2 linked regions of the Caenorhabditis elegans genome follow. The protein of the gene in region 1 purifies or fractionates together with the protein of each later gene. This does not show direct contact. Each region holds a gene or a part of one and is shown on either strand. Other genes may lie near its edges. The genes, in order: pgp-9 and fnta-1.

Evidence for each region.
Region 2: the proteins of pgp-9 (region 1) and fnta-1 fractionate together in Caenorhabditis elegans (co-fractionation; one large-scale study listed by BioGRID). This does not show direct contact.

The regions. Positions count from the first base shown.
Region 1 is NC_003283.11:17,751,374-17,760,618, forward strand, and holds the start of pgp-9 (P-GlycoProtein related), read left to right. Parts: upstream 1-4,518; 5' UTR 4,519-4,523; coding exon 4,524-4,567; intron 4,568-4,616; coding exon 4,617-4,773; intron 4,774-4,838; coding exon 4,839-5,006; intron 5,007-5,336; exon of another isoform or gene 5,337-5,429; intron 5,430-5,804; coding exon 5,805-5,938; intron 5,939-6,645; coding exon 6,646-7,667; intron 7,668-8,692; coding exon 8,693-9,114; intron 9,115-9,163; coding exon 9,164-9,245.
Region 2 is NC_003282.8:232,878-242,297, reverse strand, and holds fnta-1 (Protein farnesyltransferase/geranylgeranyltransferase type-1 subunit alpha), read left to right. Parts: upstream 1-1,990; 5' UTR 1,991-1,999; coding exon 2,000-2,123; intron 2,124-2,174; coding exon 2,175-2,679; intron 2,680-3,834; coding exon 3,835-4,078; intron 4,079-4,222; coding exon 4,223-4,336; 3' UTR 4,337-4,707; downstream 4,708-9,420. Other genes in the region: cogc-8 (Conserved oligomeric Golgi complex subunit 8), read right to left, coding at 1-344, 473-591, 675-785, 839-1,042, 1,092-1,202, 1,254-1,424, 1,475-1,599, 1,646-1,709; ints-13 (Protein asunder), read left to right, coding at 4,848-5,283, 5,509-5,713, 6,220-6,532, 6,808-6,900, 7,052-7,271, 7,722-8,325, 8,795-9,024.

The sequences.
Region 1 (9,245 bases):
ATGTGAACAATTTATTGAAAATCTCGAAAAAATCAGAAATTACAATAATTTTTCTGTAATCTAGTAGAAAATTAATATTTTCAAATAGAAAAAAAATTGAATTGTGGTAGGAAATATGAATTTGTTGGAAAACGTGCTATAAAACCTAAATTACATTTTTCTTTTTTTTTCTGCCGCGGCCGACACTTTTCGGGATCCGCATATTAGGGATATAAGGGATTACGACTTGTGGCGCGAGGCAGGCGGAGGTTTTGGTGCCGACAGGCCTACTCTAAACTTATAAAATCTGAAAAAATTCTGAAATTCAGGAAACTTTGAAAAAAGTGCAAATTTCTAAAATTTAGAAAAAAAATCGTTGTTGAAAAAATCTGAAACATTCTGAAATTTTAGAAAAAAAGTGTCAAAAAGTTTTTTGCCTGAAAATTTGAAATTCTGAATAAATTCACGTGGTGTCAGGCTGTCTCATTGCGGTTTGATCTATAAAAAGTGCGGGAATTTTTCCCGAGAAAAATCGTGACGTCAGCACGTTCTTACCCATGCGAAATCAGTTGAGATGTCTGCGTCTCACCTCCCGCATTTTTTGTAGATCAAAGCGAAATTGGGCTTTCGGACTCCGCGTGTAAATTGGAATGAAACTAAAAAACTCTAAAATTTGTGTAAAGTACTGGAAAATACGGAATTTGAAAGAATTTGGAAAATTTTAAATTTCGGCAAACTATTGGAAAAATATAACAAATATCTGAAAATTTCTGAAATTATTATTGAAAAAATCTGGAAACACCTTAATTTATTTTTTAAATCTATAAAATTTCAAAAATTAAAGTAAATTATAGAAATTTAATTTTAAAAAAATTAAATTAAAAAATTCTGTCACAAGTTCACAATTTTGAAAAAAAAATTTTTTTTCGAATTTTTTAAAAAATTTTCAGAAATTTCGTAAAACTTTTTTTTCTAAAACTCATCCCCAATAATCTCCAGCTCAGAAGTTTTTTAATTTTTCAAAATTAAACCTCAAAATACACCTCTCAATATCAAAAAGAGGAGTAACAAGCAAACAAAGAACCCCTGGCAAACGCCCCGAGAAAAACTCCAAACCACACGGAAAGCACACAAAAAGAATGCTCGCCGAGCTCCGTTGATAAACAATTGATAAAAAGTTACACCATTCCGTTTGTGTGGTTTATGTCACTTATTGAGGTGCACGGAACTGGAAATGCGGAGTTTATGCTCTGAAACTGTAAAATTTTGGCAATTTGTCGGACATTTTTTGTGAAGAACCTATAAATATAAAAATTTCGGAAAGATAAGAAGAACAATGTCATGTAATTCGAATTTCATCAGTTTAAGTTTTAACATTTTTTTCAATCTTCTATTGATTTCCTTATATTTTGAGTTTTCTAGTTGAATTTCGAGTCTAAATTGATAAAATTCAAGTTTTAAAACTAAAAAATTCCGACTCAGGGGTATCTAATTACCCTAAAACTTTAAACTTTTGGAAAAAAAACAATAAAAAAGTTTTTACCACAGTGCGGACTCGAACCCCGGTCTTCTGATTGGAAGCAAAACCGTGGAAAATCCCACTGAGCCATTCGGACGAATTTTTCAAAAATGATAAGAAAATGATCAAAATGCGATAAAAATGATAAAAAGACCCAGAAGTTTCCGTATAAAATAACTTGAAATAATATGTGTTCAGAAAAAACTATTTATTTTCGAAAACTTTGGATTTCTTAGTGATTTTTACATATCAAGATTATAAAATTCGAATTCAACACATTTTTATTACCCTAATACAAGTTTTAAATTCGTAAAAATGTTTCGACCACAGTGCGGACTCGAACCCCGGTCTGGTGATTGGAAGGGAAGTCGTGGAAAATCCCACTGAGCCACTTGGTCATATTTTTTAAAAAATGTCCAGAAGAAACAAAAACAAGTATAAGTGTTTTTTTTTAATCAACATTTTCTGAAAATTTTCTTGAATTTTCATATGGAATTGCAGGAATTTATTTGATTTTTCGAAAAACGTGCGTTTTTTAGTTTCTTTGAGTGATTTTCACATATTAAAACTATAAAAAATGAATTCAACACTTTTTGTCACTCTAAAAAATTTTTAAAAATTCAAAACAAAATTCGATCACGGTGCGGACTCGAACCCCGGCCTCGTTATTGGAAGGGAATTTGTGGAAAATCCCACTGAGCCACTTGAACACATTTTTTGAAAAATGTCCAGAAAAGGCAAAAACAAGTATAATTGTTATTTTTATCAAAATTTTCTGAAATTTTCTTAAATTGTCTTGCGGAAGTACAGGAATTTGTATGATTTCGCAAAAAAAAAACGTTTTCGTTTTTTTTTCGAGTGATTTTCACAAATTGAAACCAAAAATACTGAAATCAGGACTTTTTAATTACTCTAAAAAATTTTTACCACAGTGCGGACTCGAACCCCGGTCTTGTGATTGGGAGGAAAGTCGTGGAAAATCACACTGAGCCACTCGGACACAATTTTCAAAAAAAAATTTAAACTTCCCAAAATTGGTATTTTTATGATTTTAAGTATTAAAAATAGCTTTCAAGCCAAAAATATCCAATTTTTTGTGATTTTCGTCACATTTTCAAAATTTTTGCCATACATTTTTTTGACCTTGGTGTTTTTCCTTGTTTTTCGAATTATGCAAAGTTGATACTCTAAACAAATATGAGAGAGAAATCGTATTCTAACCTATCAAAAAAAGATGCTATAAAACTGGCGAGCACACTGCATTTTTGATGAGCATAAACTATAGGAGGGAAATGTGATCACTGAGCGAAGGTTTTGAGTACGTAATGTGATACTTTGCCCATTTTATAGTTCTTGATCATTTGATGTTTATTTTTCTTTTATTTTTCAAAAAAAAAATGCAAAAAAATTTTTTTTTTTGCACCAGTGGCTCAGTGGGGATTTGCATGACTGCCACTCAGAAGACCGTGGTTCGAGTCCGCACTGCGGTCGAATTTTTTTTCTCGATTTTTAAAGATGTTTCAGAGTAACTCAGGCGTGCTGAATTCGATTTTTATATTTATATGCCTCAAAATTTCCTAAAAATTCCCGTTTTTCGAGCAAAAATCCAATATTTGTCTAGTTTGACCTATCAAATTTCGCAATTCATTCCGAATAGATATAAACATTTTGGTTTTGCATCATGAAGTGTATGATATCACTAGGTTGTGTATATAAGCACAAAAGTTTCATGATATCTTATCATTTATTAATTGCTTCTATTTAATTTCGTCTGCACACTGGGCCTGCAGTTTTCTTAGATTTTTTAAAAAGATTTTTTAGAAAACAATGCGAGTATAATTAATTTTATCAAAATTTGGCTTTAAAAGCAATTTTTGAAAAATTGGGTCCAAATGGCGCAGTGGGATTTTACGCAAAATGCCTTCCAATCAGAAGACCAGGGTTCGAGTCCGCACTCTGGTCGAAATATTTTTTTTTGATTTTTAATCGAAGTTTAATCAACGTTTTAGAGTAATTATAATATTTCCAATTCAAATTTAATAATTTCAGTATCTGAAAATTCCTTTAAAATATATTAAACTCAATAATAAATAAATTTAAAAAGCTAGAACAGTTCTCTGATTTTTTGATTTCTGTTTTAACACACTTAGCAAACAGTTCAAAATGTACTGCCAACTTATTTTCTGTTGACCCACTTTAAGCTCCGCCCACTTTTCTTTCCCTAGACTTTTGTTTCTCCAAACTATAGAGAGATCTTTCGAAAACTGACGGAATTCACTTTGTTTTATTTCTCAATTCCTCCAATTTCAGTGTGTACTTAGGGCAGTGATAAGAGGTTGATAAAACTGTCGGCAGTTGGACTGATAACAATATGAAAGAATTTTTGGGCTCTTTCATTTCATTTTTTCGCTCAAGGATCATATTTTCAGTGACTTTTTGAAATTTCTAAGTTTTTCAGTAGATTTTTTGGTTTAATGTTGGAAAATTTGAAATCAGCATCTATTATTTACCCTAAAACTTTTCGAGAAAAAATGAAAAATGGTAAGCCACAGTGCGGACTCGAACCCCGGTCTTGTGATTGGAAGGGACTTCGGGGAAAATCGCACTGCGCCATTTGGACACATTTTTCAAAAAACTGCTCAGAAAAAAGTCAGAATATTGATTTTACAGCTAACTTGAGTGAATTATCGAAATTTTCAGCAATTTGGATATACAATATTGAATTTCTTCCCAAAAACCGTTGCATTCCAGAAAATTTCAAATTTTATTATATTTTTTTCGAATTTTTATTTTGAAAATCGAGTTCAGCATGTCAGAATTACTTTAAAAACTATTCGAAAAAGCAAATAAAAAATTTCGACCACTGTGCGGGCTCGAACCCCGGTCTTCTGATTGGAAGGGACTTCGTGGAAAATCCCACTGAGCCATTCGTACATTTTTCTGGAAAACTACGATTTGAACCGTTTTTTGTGACTTTTTCGATTTTCTGCGTACTTTTTTGAATTTTATGTATTTTTTTCAGGTAATGGGTCTATTCAAAAAGAAGAAGGATGATTCATCATCGGAAGGGTAGGTATTTCTGAGGAACCGCACCTAAAAACGCTGAAAATTTTTGCAGATCATCAGAGAAAAAAGAAGAAGCTCCACCGCCGCCAAAAATCTCAATTTTTCAACTATACCGGTACACAAGCACAGTAGATCGGTTAATGTTGGCAGTAGGAATCATTGTATCATGTGCCACCGGTGTAGGACTCCCTTTGATGTCTATTATTATGGTAAAATAATTTTTTTTAAATAGTTTTGTCTTAAAATAACCTAAAAATAATCTAAATCATTGCAGGGTAACGTGTCACAAAACTTCGTCACCCTTGGTACCATTTTCCTGGATCCTAACTCAACTGCGTCAGAAAAAGCTGCGGCAAGAGCCGAGTTTTCTCATGAAGTTATTCAAAATTGTTTGAAATACGTTTACCTTGGATGTGGAATTTTTGCTGCTGGTTTTCTACAGGTATTGGGTTTAGTTTTGCGAAAAATCGAAATTGAACAAAAAAATTTCGGAAAAAATAAATTAAGAAATTTCGAAAAAAAATTTTCGAAAAATGTTTAGTCAATTTTTTTTTCAAATCGCCTAAAGTTATAAAATTCCGAACATATACACAAATTTAAATGAATTTCACTTTTTCTAGCTTTTATCCGCAAAAAAATTGAATTTTCTAAAAATTTAAAGAAAAAACTTTTGAGCACAATTTCAGGCCAAAATTTCGCAAATTTTGTAAAAATACAAGTTTTCGACATGAGATTTGAATTTAGCAGCTTTGAATTACTCTAAAAACATCCTTAAAAACCAAAAAAAAAGTTTTGGCCACCATGCGGACTCGAACCCCGGTCTTCTGATTGGAACGGAAATCGTGGAAAATCCCACTGAGCCATTTGGACACAGTTTTCAAAATTGTTTAGAAAAATCAAAAAAAAATTGATTTTACAATTAATTTGAGTAAATTTTTAAAAATTTTCGGCAATTTGGATATACAAAATTGAACTCCTTCCCAAAAGCCGTTTTATTTTTGAAATTTTCTAAATTTATTCATTTTTTTTTTGAATTTTTTCATTGAAAATCGACATCAGCACATTAGAATTACTCTAAAACATTTTTAAAAACAAAAAAAAAGTTTTGCCCACTATGCGGACTCGAACCCCGGTCTTCTGATTGGAATGGAATTTGTGGAAAATCTCACTGCGCCATTTGGACACATTTTTAAAAATTCTCAGAAAATTAGTTTTTCTTCAAATCTCTTCAATTTTTAAGGCTTCATGCTTCATGGTAATCTGTGAGAAACTGTCAAATAGATTCCGGCGGCAGTTCTTCCATTCTGTGATGCGTCAGGAGATTGCCTGGTACGACAAGAATACGTCTGGAACTTTGTCGAATAAGCTTTTTGAGTGAGTTTAGAAATTTTAAAGCTTTTTTTTTTTAAATTTGGAATTGATTTGAATTTTGAAAAATAATATGACCGAAACAAAAATTGTTGCTTAAAAATGTTGAACTTTATTTTTCTAAAAATTTTTTTCCGCAAATCGGCAAATCTGCAAATTGCCTGAATTGAAAATTTCCGTCTAATGGGCAAACCGGCAAATCGGTAAACCTACAAATTGCATAAATTGAAAATTTCCGGTAAATTCGGCAAACCGGCAATTTGTCGGAATTGAAAATTTCTGACAAATCGGAAAACCGGCAAATCGGCAAATTACTTAAATTGAAAATTTCCGGCAAGTGTGCAAACCGGCAAATCGGTAAACCTTCAAATTGCATAAATTGAAAGTTTCCGGCGAACAGGCAAACCTGCAATTTGCAGGAATTGAAAAATTCCTTCAAATGGGCAAATGGGCAAATTGCCGGAACTGAAAACTTCCGGTAAATGTGCAGACTGGCAATTTACCAAAAATGAAAATTTCTGGCAATTGGGCAAACCGGCAAATTGCCCAAATTGAAAATTTCCAACACATCGACAAATCGGCAAATGTCCTGTTACAAATTTCCGGCAAATCGGCAAACAGGCAAATTGCCGGAATTGAAAATATGCCGATTTGCCGGATTTGCCCCCTCCTCATTTCATATAAATACCCCTTAAAACCATTAATTTTTTCAGCAATCTTGAACGTGTCCGCGAAGGTACCGGAGACAAAGTCGGTCTGGCCTTCCAGATGATGGCTCAGTTCATCGGTGGATTTGCCGTGGCTTTTACCTACGACTGGCTTCTAACCCTAATTATGATGTCACTTTCTCCATTTATGATGATTTGCGGCTTGTTCCTTGCCAAACTTCTCGCCACCGCAGCTACCAAAGAGGCTAAGCAGTACGCCGTTGCCGGAGGAATCGCTGAGGAAGTTCTGACCTCGATCAGAACAGTTATTGCGTTTAACGGTCAGGAATATGAGTGTAAACGGTACGAGGATGCTCTGGAGCACGGTAAAAAGACTGGAATCAAGAAAAGTTTCCTAATCGGAGCCGGGCTTGCGTCCTTCTTCGTCATCATCTACGCCTCCTACTGCCTCGCCTTCTGGGTTGGAACCAATTTCGTGTATAGTGGACGCCTGGAGTCTGGTACAGTACTAACCGTTTTCTTCTCGGTGATGATGGGATCCATGGCACTTGGGCAGGCTGGACAGCAATTTGCAACCATTGGTACAGCTCTGGGAGCCGCCGCCTCCCTCTATGAGGTCATTGACAGAATACCGGAAATCGATGCATACTCTACTGAGGGACAGACTCCGAGCAAGATTTCCGGAAGGATTTCTGTGAATAAAGTGGAATTTACGTACCCGACACGTGCTGATGTGAAGATCCTTAAGGGTGTCTCGTTGGATGCTCAACCCGGACAGACTGTCGCATTGGTTGGAAGCTCCGGATGTGGAAAGTCGACTATTATTCAGTTGCTTCAACGGTTCTATAACCCGGATGCCGGGCAGATTTTGATTGATGACATTCCGATTGAGGACTTTAATATTAAGTATCTCCGACAACTGGTTGGAGTTGTGAGCCAGGAGCCCAACTTGTTCAATACATCTATTGAACAGAACATTCGTTATGGAAGAAGTGATGTTTCAGATGAAGATATTGCTAGAGCTTTGAAGGAGGCAAATGCTGCGGATTTCATCAAGACATTCCCAGGTTAGATTTAATCGATAGAAAATTTAATGCTAATCATTTTTGCAGTTTAAATTTTCTTGATATCTCTATTCTCCGTGGAGATATACGCGTTTGAAGTTGAGAGAGCGAAACACTGTGGGAGAGGGAGAGACGCAGGTGGCGTGACTTTCTGCACTCTCCCCTCCCTCCACACACTCTCTCATTGCGCGAACATTGAACCGTTGTAACTCTGCAGTGGTTAGAGCTATCAAAAAGATTCAAAATGGAAAAATATTGTAAATTTCACGAGGAACACGTTGAAGTTAATAGCTTGTGTGATTTTCAGAAAAAAAAACCGGAAAATTTGGAACTTAAGAGTTTTTCTTTAAAACTCATTCGAAGCAAAATTGCATGCTGATCATTTTTCCAGTTCAAAGTTTTTTGATATCTCTATTCTCCGTGAAAACGTGCGTTTGAAGTTTAGACAGCGAAACACCGTGGGAGGGAGAGAGACGCAGGTGGTGAGGCTGTCTGCACTCTCCCCTCCCTCCACACACTCTCTCATTGCGCGAACTTTGAGCCGTTGTAACTCTGCAGTGGTTAGAGCTATCAAAAAAGTTCAAAACGAAGAAATAATGTAAAATTTACAAGGAATACGCTGAAGTTAATAGCTTGTGTGATTTTTAGAAAAAAAAACCGGAAAATTCGGAAATTTAGATTTCAGTTAAAATTTTCAATGAAAATTCGAAGCAAAATTGAATGCTGGTCCTTTTTCCAGTTCAAAATTTTTCGATATCTCTATTCTCCGTGGAGATATACACGTTTGAAATTGAGACAGCGAAACACGCGTTTGAAATTGAGACAGCGAAACACCGTGGGAGAGGGAGAGACGCAGGTGGTAGGGCTGTCTGCGCTCTCCTCTCCCTCCACACTCTTTCACCGTGCAAACTTTAAACCGTTGTAACTCTGCAACGGGTTGAGATATCAAAAAAATTTCAACTATCGGTATTATCAAAATTTAATCTAGATATCAAATCATATAAATTCAAAATTTTTGCAATTTCCAGAAGGCCTCAACACTCTCGTCGGAGATCGTGGAGTTCAAATGTCCGGAGGTCAAAAGCAACGTATTGCCATTGCCCGTGCCCTTGTCAGAAACCCCAAGATTCTGCTCCTCGACGAAGCCACAAGTGCTCTGGACGCCGAATCCGAGAGTATTGTGCAATCGGCTCTGGAGAACGCATCGCGTGGGCGTACCACAATTGTGATTGCTCATCGTCTGTCGACAGTTCGTAACGCTGATAAGATCATCGTGATGAAGGCCGGACAAGTGATGGAAGTGGGAACTCACGAGACTTTGATAGAGCAGAAGGGCCTATACCATGAGTTGGTGCATGCTCAGGTGTTTGCTGATGTGGATGACAAGCCGAAGAAGAAAGAAGCAGAAAGACGGATGTCTAGGCAGACATCGCAGAGGAAAGGATCAGTGGTAAGAGCCAACCTAGTTGAAATTTCCTCTAACTAACTTATTTTTCCAGAACTTCAAAACCCAAGAGTCCCAGGTAGACGAGAAGCCCGGAGCCCCACCAGCCCCTGAGGCCGCTGAAAAAGAGATCAAAC
Region 2 (9,420 bases), on another chromosome or scaffold:
CAACTGGTGTTAGAATGAATCGAAGTCCATTGAGAGCATCTACCACTGAATTCGTGTAAATTGTCATATCATCCCAGAGACTCAGTTCGGCAGCAGCCACTGGTGGAGAATCTGGAGCAGTTTCGAATTGAGGAAGTGATGCTGGATCTATTCCGATCATGACAATGTCCCGGGAAGATCCTGTCAGTCTACTCGTCGCTTCTTGTACATTTTGACGGAATCTTTGCTCAATTAGTTTTGTTAGTTTTCCGGCGATCAGTGGTCGGAAATCGATGCCCATTCTTCCGAAAGATGATGCCATTGCCATTAGTTTTGTCCACACTGCTGACAGATCGACGGCTGATCTGAAATTAAGCACATTTTTTTTAATTTTTAATTTTTAATTGGTGATTTTCTCCGGAATTTCTAAAGTTTTAGTGGATTTTCCAGCCAAGATTTATGGAGAATCTCAGAAATTGGAGAAAATCCTCACTTAACATCCGCCTTTGTGATAAGATCCAACATTTTCTTGACATTCGAAATAACCCATTGTGACAGAATCGAGTTTGGTGGCAGAACTGGCCATGATTCCCATCTCGGATCAGCATTCGGCTGAAAAAAAAGTGAAATAAAATTGTTTTATTATTCTTGGCTATTGTTTTTTGCTCAAAATTTTTTCGATTTGATTCCCTTACATTTTTTCGAACAACTTCGTTTTCCGGAAACACTGCAAGATAAAGCACGAGAGTGTCGTACATACTGGTACGGTAGATCTCGATCGCCTGCACAATCATGTCAACATTTCCCTGAAAAAAACGAAATAAATTGTATTAAATATGTTGTGATTGGCATTTCTCACTGAAATATCTAAAATCTGTTTTTCCAGATAAATATCCCGGTGCTGAAGAACGGCGATTCTCAGCTGATTCGCTGTCAATGAGGGCATCTTTCGAACGTTATTCACAACTTTGATGGATTCTGCAAGATCCAGTGGCCCAGCGAATTTGTTGAAAAGTTCCTCCAAAAGATAAGCACGAGCTTCGACTAGGTGGTCCGCGACTTTCTAGAATTATTTTTTACGTTTTTAACAGGTTTTCCTGGGGATTTCAGACTTTTATCAGCGGATTCCGGTAGAGTTGAGTCTGTTGTTGAAGTTGCAAGCCATAATTGGTCAATGTGTAAGCCAGATCATAGTATCCTGCACGAATGCAAATGTCCATGCGCTAAAATGTTTTAAAATTACAAAGAAAAAAGAAAAGTAGATGTAGAATTACCGAGGGTAGCGTCAAAAGCTCCCAGATCGGATTTGACTTGTCCAGTGCTTTTCTGACAAGATCCTGCTCTTCAGAAAGCTGTTTAGCTTTTGCTCTAAACTCTACAAACGCAGAAGTCAACTCCTCTGCTTGATCCGACAGATTTACAGTTTTATCGCGCATTTCTCCGAACTGAAATTATTTAGGGTTTAGACTTTAAATAGATTTTTTCGTGAAATTACAGTTTTCGAGCAATCGTGAGTGGCTCTTCCAGCGTCTGCATATGTTCCATAATTATTGAATGCTAAATCACTAATCTGGGCGTCAATCGCCTTCAGCTCGCTGGCCAGCAGCACCTTTTGACGTCCTGAACGATTTTTCGATGAATTTTCACATTATTGCAGATTACTTACGCATTTCTTCAAGTCCCATATTGCGAATATCATCTCCATTATGAAATATATAATCAGAATCCATGATTTCCTACAGTAAAGGCAAATCGGCGATAAGAAAGAAATCGCGTTGGCTGCCCGTAAATCCACATGAGAGCCGGAGTGTTTGCGGAGAGTGCGCAGGAAATTACGACACTTTGCACCGTTTAACTTTAAATCCATTTTTTTTCTTTTCCGAGTTGTTCGAGCATTTAAGACGTTTTTTCCAGTTTCCAGCTCAATTTTTATTGAAAAATATTTAGAAAAAATTCAAAATTTAATGTTTTCCCCTTCAAAATCCAATATTAACGAAAAATAAGCTTGCAGGCGGAGAAAATGTCGGACAGCGATATTCCATCTTCAACTCTCTACAAAGATAACGTAGATTGGAAGGATATTACGCCGATCTACCCGAGTAAGGAGGAAGAAGTTGCTGTTAAGATCGCTGTTACGGAAGACTGTAAGAAATTTTGAGATCAAATTAATAATTATTCAAATTTTAATTTTGCAGTCACCGATGCTTTCGCCTACTTCCGTGCAATTCTAATAAAAAACGAGAAGTCGGATCGAGTGATGGCACTTCTCGAGGATTGCATTAGACTTAATCCAGCGAATTACACAGTTTGGCAGTATCGCCGCGTGTGTCTCACCGAGTTGGGATGGGATTTGAAGAAGGAGATGCGGTATCTCAGCGATATTATTCAAGAATCACCGAAAAACTATCAAGTCTGGCATCACCGTCGCTTCATCGTCGAAACGATTGGAGAAAGTGCGGTGAACGATGAGCTTCATTTTTGCTCGGAAGTCATCCGCGACGAGAACAAAAACTATCACGCGTGGCAGCACCGTCAATGGGTTGTACGGACTTTCAAGGTTCCACTGGAGAAAGAGCTCACATTTGCTCTTCACATGCTTCTTCTCGATAATCGCAACAATTCGGCGTATAATTATCGCTATTTTCTGATGACTCTCTACGATAAGACGGAGGATGCGAGCCAGCTTGACATTGAGATCAAGTAAGGAAATATAACAGCGATCAATTTTTTGTTCACGATTAGCGTTTTTAGTGGAGAAACATCTATCTGATGTAGAAAGCGATTCAGAAACTAAAAATCTCCGAAAATTCCAGAATATTCTTCTCAATTTCTGATTTTTAGTGATGAAAACTACCTAAAAATTGAAAACTGTCCAAATATTTGATTAATCAAACATGAAGATAACTTTGAAAGTAAAAATTTTTGGTTGAGGCTGAAGAGTTTGGGTGAGGCTAAGAGTTTGGTTGAGGCTAAGAGTTTGGTTGAGGCTAAGAATTTGGTTGAGGCTAAGCGTTTGGTTGAGGCTAAGAATTTGGTTGAGGCTGAAGAGTTTGGTTGAGGCTAACAAGGAAAGGAAGTCAATCTAGTATCGGACTTTAAATTGAGACGTATGTCATTTGAAAGCTTATGTTTAGACTAGATCACCACAAAAATTTCAGCGGCGGAACTCAACTCTGAACCCCTGAAATCGCCATCTGAAAATTTTTCTCTGCGCCCTCCTAGTTTTCAATACTATTTCGTACTTATTCATTTTACTTATACAAAAAATGATTTTCAATCATTATGAAATGGTTACAAACATGGAAAACAATAAAAAACAACGGTTGATGGCCGAATGGTAAACGCTTGGAATAATAAAATAAAGGTCTCGTGTTCGATTCTTTCAGTGGAAATAATTTTTTTCTTCAACTTTTAAAAACTGCAATCGGGCCCTTTGTAAAAAATTGTAAAAAATTGTAAAAAGGCTCAATTCGAAGAAATATGTAGCTTTTTGCATGCCCGGATACAAAAAAATAGTTTTGGAATTTTTTCAAAAAAAAAAATTTTTGACCAAAAATTTGGTGTCCAATGGATCGAAAAAATTTCAGATTTTTTTCAAAAAAATAAAAATTTCCAAAAAGCTCCCACATTGTTTGTTAGACCCTAAAAACCCCCAAAAACAATTTCTAATCTCTCAGAACCCCTTTTGAGGCCATTTACTTGATATAGAAGTCAGCGAAAAAATGCACTGGAGCATAGATAGATTGACTTCCTTTCCTTGTAAGAGTTTGGTTGAGGCTAAGAGTTTGTTTGAGGCTAAATAGTTGTTGCACATCTTCCATTAAACTTGAACACAAAACCTCTCAATTTTTCTAGCCTCGCCAAGAAGTTCATTGAGAATATTCCGAACAACGAAAGTGCCTGGAACTACCTCGCAGGGCTTCTCATCACAAATGGAGTAACCTCGAACAGTGATGTTGTCAGTTTTGTGGAGGATTTGTATGAGACAACTCCTGAAGAGAAACGGTCACCATTCCTTCTTGCATTTATCGCCGATATGATGCTCGAAAATATTGAAAACCAAAAGTCTGCGGAAGAAAGCGCTGGGCGCGCTAAAAAGGTTTGTAAGTCTAGAAAGTTCATGAGAAATGGGATAACATTGGAGAATTTTTAACTAAAAATTTCCTTTTTTTTAATTAAAAGTGCACATTTTCGCTTTAAATGAATTTGCGCTCTAAACGCCTCAAATTCCCGAAATTTCCAGCTCTACAAGGATCTTCAATCGATCGACCCGGTTCGAGTCAACTACTACCGCCATCAGAGTCTTCTTGCTCAAACGATGCTCATCAAGGCACAGACGAAGGTCACTGCCAAGTAATTCTTTCTGAATTCCACGTTTTTTTTGTATTTATATGTTTTTGTGTAAGTATATCCCAATGATTTCCCACAATTTGCCGTCCTACTTATTTATTTAAAAAATTTTTTTTTAAATTATTATTCAATGATGCTTTTTTTATAGTTTATTCTTAATTTTTATACCTTTTGTCACGTTTTTTAGTTGAAAGGCAAGAGAAAATGGAAATTTCCGAGGCACAGCGGCACTCCGATATCTTTCATGCGCCTTTAAGTTTGGAGTACTGTAGATTTTGAATTTTTTTTCTTGAATTATTGCAAATAATTGAAATATTTCGAAATCAACTGTTTATTCATCATTTCGGCTACCAGTTTTCTTTGTTTCTGAGAGAAATATTAAAAATTTATTCTTCTTTTCCAAATTTAAATTTCGATGATACAAGAACCCCTGACAGAATTTAATTTTTCTCGGGAAAAGCGTTGTTTATTCTTCAAAAAAAATCGATTCTAAATTTCTTAAAAATAAAATTATTAAGATGGAACAACGGGATATGAAAACCGTTTTTCTGCTGGATCGGAGCGCGAAATTCGTGGAAAACTGTAACGAAACGTTCGATGTCACAATTCGAGAAGGCCCAAAACAGAAGAAACTTCAATTCGAAAAAACCATTTGGACGTGGTGCCTTGAGGGAATCTTCGAAATGCACAGAATTCTGAGTGACGTCTATCCACGTGGCACTCTACAGCTTCGATTTGCCCTGGCGGACTTCATGGGAAAGATGTTGGATACGCAGTGGACGGACGGATTTTTGACTCGAGAAGAGCTCGGAGAACTCATTGAGACTGTGAGCCGCCCGAGTGAGGCTAATACTGATATTACACCAATTGGTGGATTGACTATGGCCATTGAAGCGTTGGCTGTGCAGTCGCCTGAACAGAGAAATTATAATTATGATGTACGATATAGTGCAAGTGAGTATTTCCTTTTGAAACATTAATTATTTTATCCAAAATCGTAATTATGATCATCTGGAAATCTTTAAAAAAAAGGTTTTACACTAGTTTTACACGAAATCTATGGTTTTCAAGCCTTTTTTACGTAGAAAAACTATCGAAAAATGATTTAAAAAAATCTTGAAAAATCACTGAAAACCCGCATTTTCCGTTAGAAATCTACCTTATTCTGAAAATTTCCAGACAAACGTACAGCTCAAAACTCGGAAGTAATACGCGTGACACGAGAACTCAGAGGTCTTCCACCACTTCCAACTGTTCAAAACGCCGGAAATTTGATTATGTACACCCGGTTGAATACTCAAGAGGAAATGGAACAATTACAGACGGAGATTGTCGAGTTAGTTGTGTCACGCAACAAAATCGCCGACGCTCCTTCAAATAAAACGTAATATTTTGATTATAAAATCGGTTTTTTCGCCAAAAATCACAAAAAAGAACCCAGTTTTAAGACATTTTGTAAACAAAAATCCGGGGCCTCACTCATACTATTCAGTCTCGCAGAAAAATCCAGAGAGCCTCAACCAAAAATCCAGAGAGCCTCAACCAAAAATCCAGAGAGCCTCAACCAAAAATCCTGAGAGCCTCACCCAAAAATCCAGAGAGCCTCAATCAAAAATCCAGAGAGCCTCAACCAAAAATCAAGAGAGCCTCAACCGAAAATTCTGAGCCTCACCCAAAAATCCAGAGAGCCTCAATCAAAAATCCAGTGAGCCTCAATCAAAAATCAAGAGAGCCTCAACCAAAAATCCTGAGAGCCTCAACCAAAAATCTAGAGAGCCTCAGCCAAAAATCTAGAGAGCCTCAGCCAAAAATCCCGAGGGATCAATTTTACCAAGCAATTTGAATAGATTCTTACCATAAACTTCAATAAAATTTAATTTATCTTTCCAGATTCTGCCCAATTACTTCTCTTCGCTTATTCATCGTGAATTACTATGCCACTGGAGACGAATGTACAGTAAAAACTCATTCCCTTCAAGCTCATCCGGATCTTCCACTGCTCAAAATTTGGGTAATCTCACGAAAAGCCGCGGATATGTGTGACGCGATTCATTCATTGCTTGTTGATGCATTCGATCTAGGATCAACTACAGTAACCAAGATCCCAATGAAAGAAGACAATCGAGGATCTTCGAATTATGATGTTGAGCTGTTTCATTCGGGAAAAGTTCATGCGATGCTCAAGGAGAATAACCTTATCGATGTGAGAAAATGAAGAGGGTTTAGGACTTCTTAATAACTTTTTCAGAAAACAAATTTTGTATTGTAGATACCGTACCCGCTAGTACGGTAATTATTGCATCCTTTCAAAGTAATTGTTTTAACTCCGTTTTTCGGAAAAAATTACTTTGGGAAATGCGGAAAGCTTATCAAAGTGTTCTTCTCCGGATTTTTAAAATTTTTTAAATAAAAAACAATGTGGCGGATGCATATTCTTCCATTTTCAAGCCTGAGAATAAATTTTTTTATAATTTTCAGACGGTGAGCAAAAAAGGCGACTCGGACAAGGGTGTAACTTACGATACAATGCGGCTCACCTGGACCACAGCTCCCAAGACAAAATGGTCATTGGTAAGGAAAAAAAAGAAAAAGTTCCGAGAAGAACTTGAAAATAGAAGATTTTCGGTTTTTTTTGCCTAGAAGAACGAGAATATTCCATAACTCTGCCACTTTCAACAAAAAAAAACCAATTATAATCTTTGAAAATCTCAATTTTTTACAGTTCCCATACCACGGAGCAGCTGTCCCGTGTACTACGGCTCAAGCATATTCCCGCCCGTCAGCCTGCCTTACCCAATTCGTTCGTGATGGTCGATGTGTGATGCTTGATTCGGAGAAAACTACAGAACTCGGAATGAATATGCATGAAAAACTTGTCTCACATTTGCTTATTGCGAATCGTGGAAGAATTTTTATTCAGGAAATTGATTTCATGCAGAAAAGTTTGTAATTTATACAATTATTTTGCCGTCGAAAAATCTCACCGAAAAATCCTGAGCCTCTTTATCCTGATAGCCTCACCCAAAAATACTGAGCCTCAACCAAAAAATCCAGAGAACCTCAACCAAAAATCTTGAAAGCCTCACCAAAAATCCTTAGCCTCAACCAAAAATCCTTAGCCTCAACCAAAAATACTTAGCCTCAACCAAAAATACTTAGCCTCAACCAAAAATACTTAGCCTCAACCAAAAATCCTGAGCCTCAACCAAAAATCCCTAGCCTCACTCAAAATCCCGAGCCTCAACCAAAAATCCTCAGCCTCAACAAAAAATTCTTAGCCTCAACCAAAAATTTTTCTGAAATAATTTTTATATTTTCGCAGAAGACAGAAAACTCGGTCACTATTTTGTTTAAATTTGAGAAAAAAAAATTCAAAACCCAAACATTTGCAGAAGCCGACCGAATCGCTGGAAAACTGAAGCGTCCACGTGTGCTTCATGCTCCGGAGGATCCGATTAATATGAACCAACTTCGGCACACTTATAAGCAGCTCGAGCTCCGTTTTGTCGCCAAAAACCGCATGGACGATAATTTGACAGAAAAAGAGACGGAGAAATGGACAGGATTGAAGAATTCAGATTTGAAGAAAAGATTTCAACGAATTTCCAAAAATATTCCATGTTTCGCAGCGGATACATTTATTTTCAATGAGAAAGTTACACCAAAACTCGAGCCATTAATCAGTTTAATCACAAAAACTACATTATCAGAAAATGACGTGGATAAGTGTAAACAATGCATTGTAACACTTTATCAAATGAAAAATGAACGACAATACGTGATTTCACCGGAATCTGACATCAAAATCAGCTCAGTTCGGAATTTGAAGGATCCAGATGAACAATTGAGAGTGACATTTGTGGAGTTGGCTAAACATATCATGAAATATGTTACTTTCTCTGAAAAACATAAGGAGATTTATAAGACCTATATGACTACATTGAATGTTGATAAACTGTTGGAAGTTGATTTGGATGATGATGAAGCTGTTGATAAGTGAGCAGATTTTCAAAAAGGAATCCTTTAAAAGTTGATAAAAAATAAAATAACGAATTTTCCTTTTTTTTTTCTAAAAAAGTCTTGTTTTAAACAAAATTATGACGTAGCGCAATTTTTTGTGAATTTCAGAAAAAAAAATTAAAATATTTTTTTTAGTAAATCGAGAAAAATCGAAACATTTTCTAATTTTCAAAACTCAAAAAAAAAATCAAAAAATGAGTAAATGAGTGTTCTTGTACTTTTTCTCATTTTTAGATTCAAAATATTTCAATTTTCTGGAAAATGAAAAATTGAATCTTAGAATTTTTTTTGTTTTTCGAAATTCTGAAAATTTTTAAATTTGAAATAAAATAGTATTTATTTTTTAGAAATTGAATAATCACGATATATTTTATGTTTTCGTTTTTTTTTAAATTAAAAACACATCTTTAAATTAGTTGTCAAAAAAAATTTCCAATTCTTCCAGAATGTTCGTGAAATTCTCATTTTTTGGAAAATCGGACACCGCTTCAAAAACCGATGAAGATGAAGATTCCAGTGATGATGAAGACGAGGAAATCCTTAAAAGTCCGGCATTGAAGAAACTATTTGGTTATGTGGATGCACGAGATGAACGAAAATATGAAGAATTATATGGTCAGGGATTCAAAAAGAAGAAGCCTGAAGTCGAGGAGAAGCCGATTGTTATGGCAAAAGGTTGGAAAAAGTTGTGGGAGTTCTACTGGAAATATCGCTAAAATTCCGCAAAAATCTACTGACAAATGAGAAAATTAGGCTGTAAAGTCTGAAAAAAATGAACAAAAACTTTAAAATTCTGAACATTTACGTAAAGTCATCTGGAAATTGCAGAATGTGCTTCCTTTGGATTTTCTGCAATTTCCTGATTATTTTTTAATTAAAAATTCTTAATTTATGATTTTCTGATCACTAAAAAAGTGAAATTTGAGCGATTTTCTGAGTTTACCACTTTTTTCAGCTGAATTACAAACATTCGAACTAAAAAAAAAACAACTTATATATACAGCTCTAATGTTCAATAATTTTTTTTTCGGTAAATGCAGAATACAATATAATTGAAAAAACAAGCTGAAT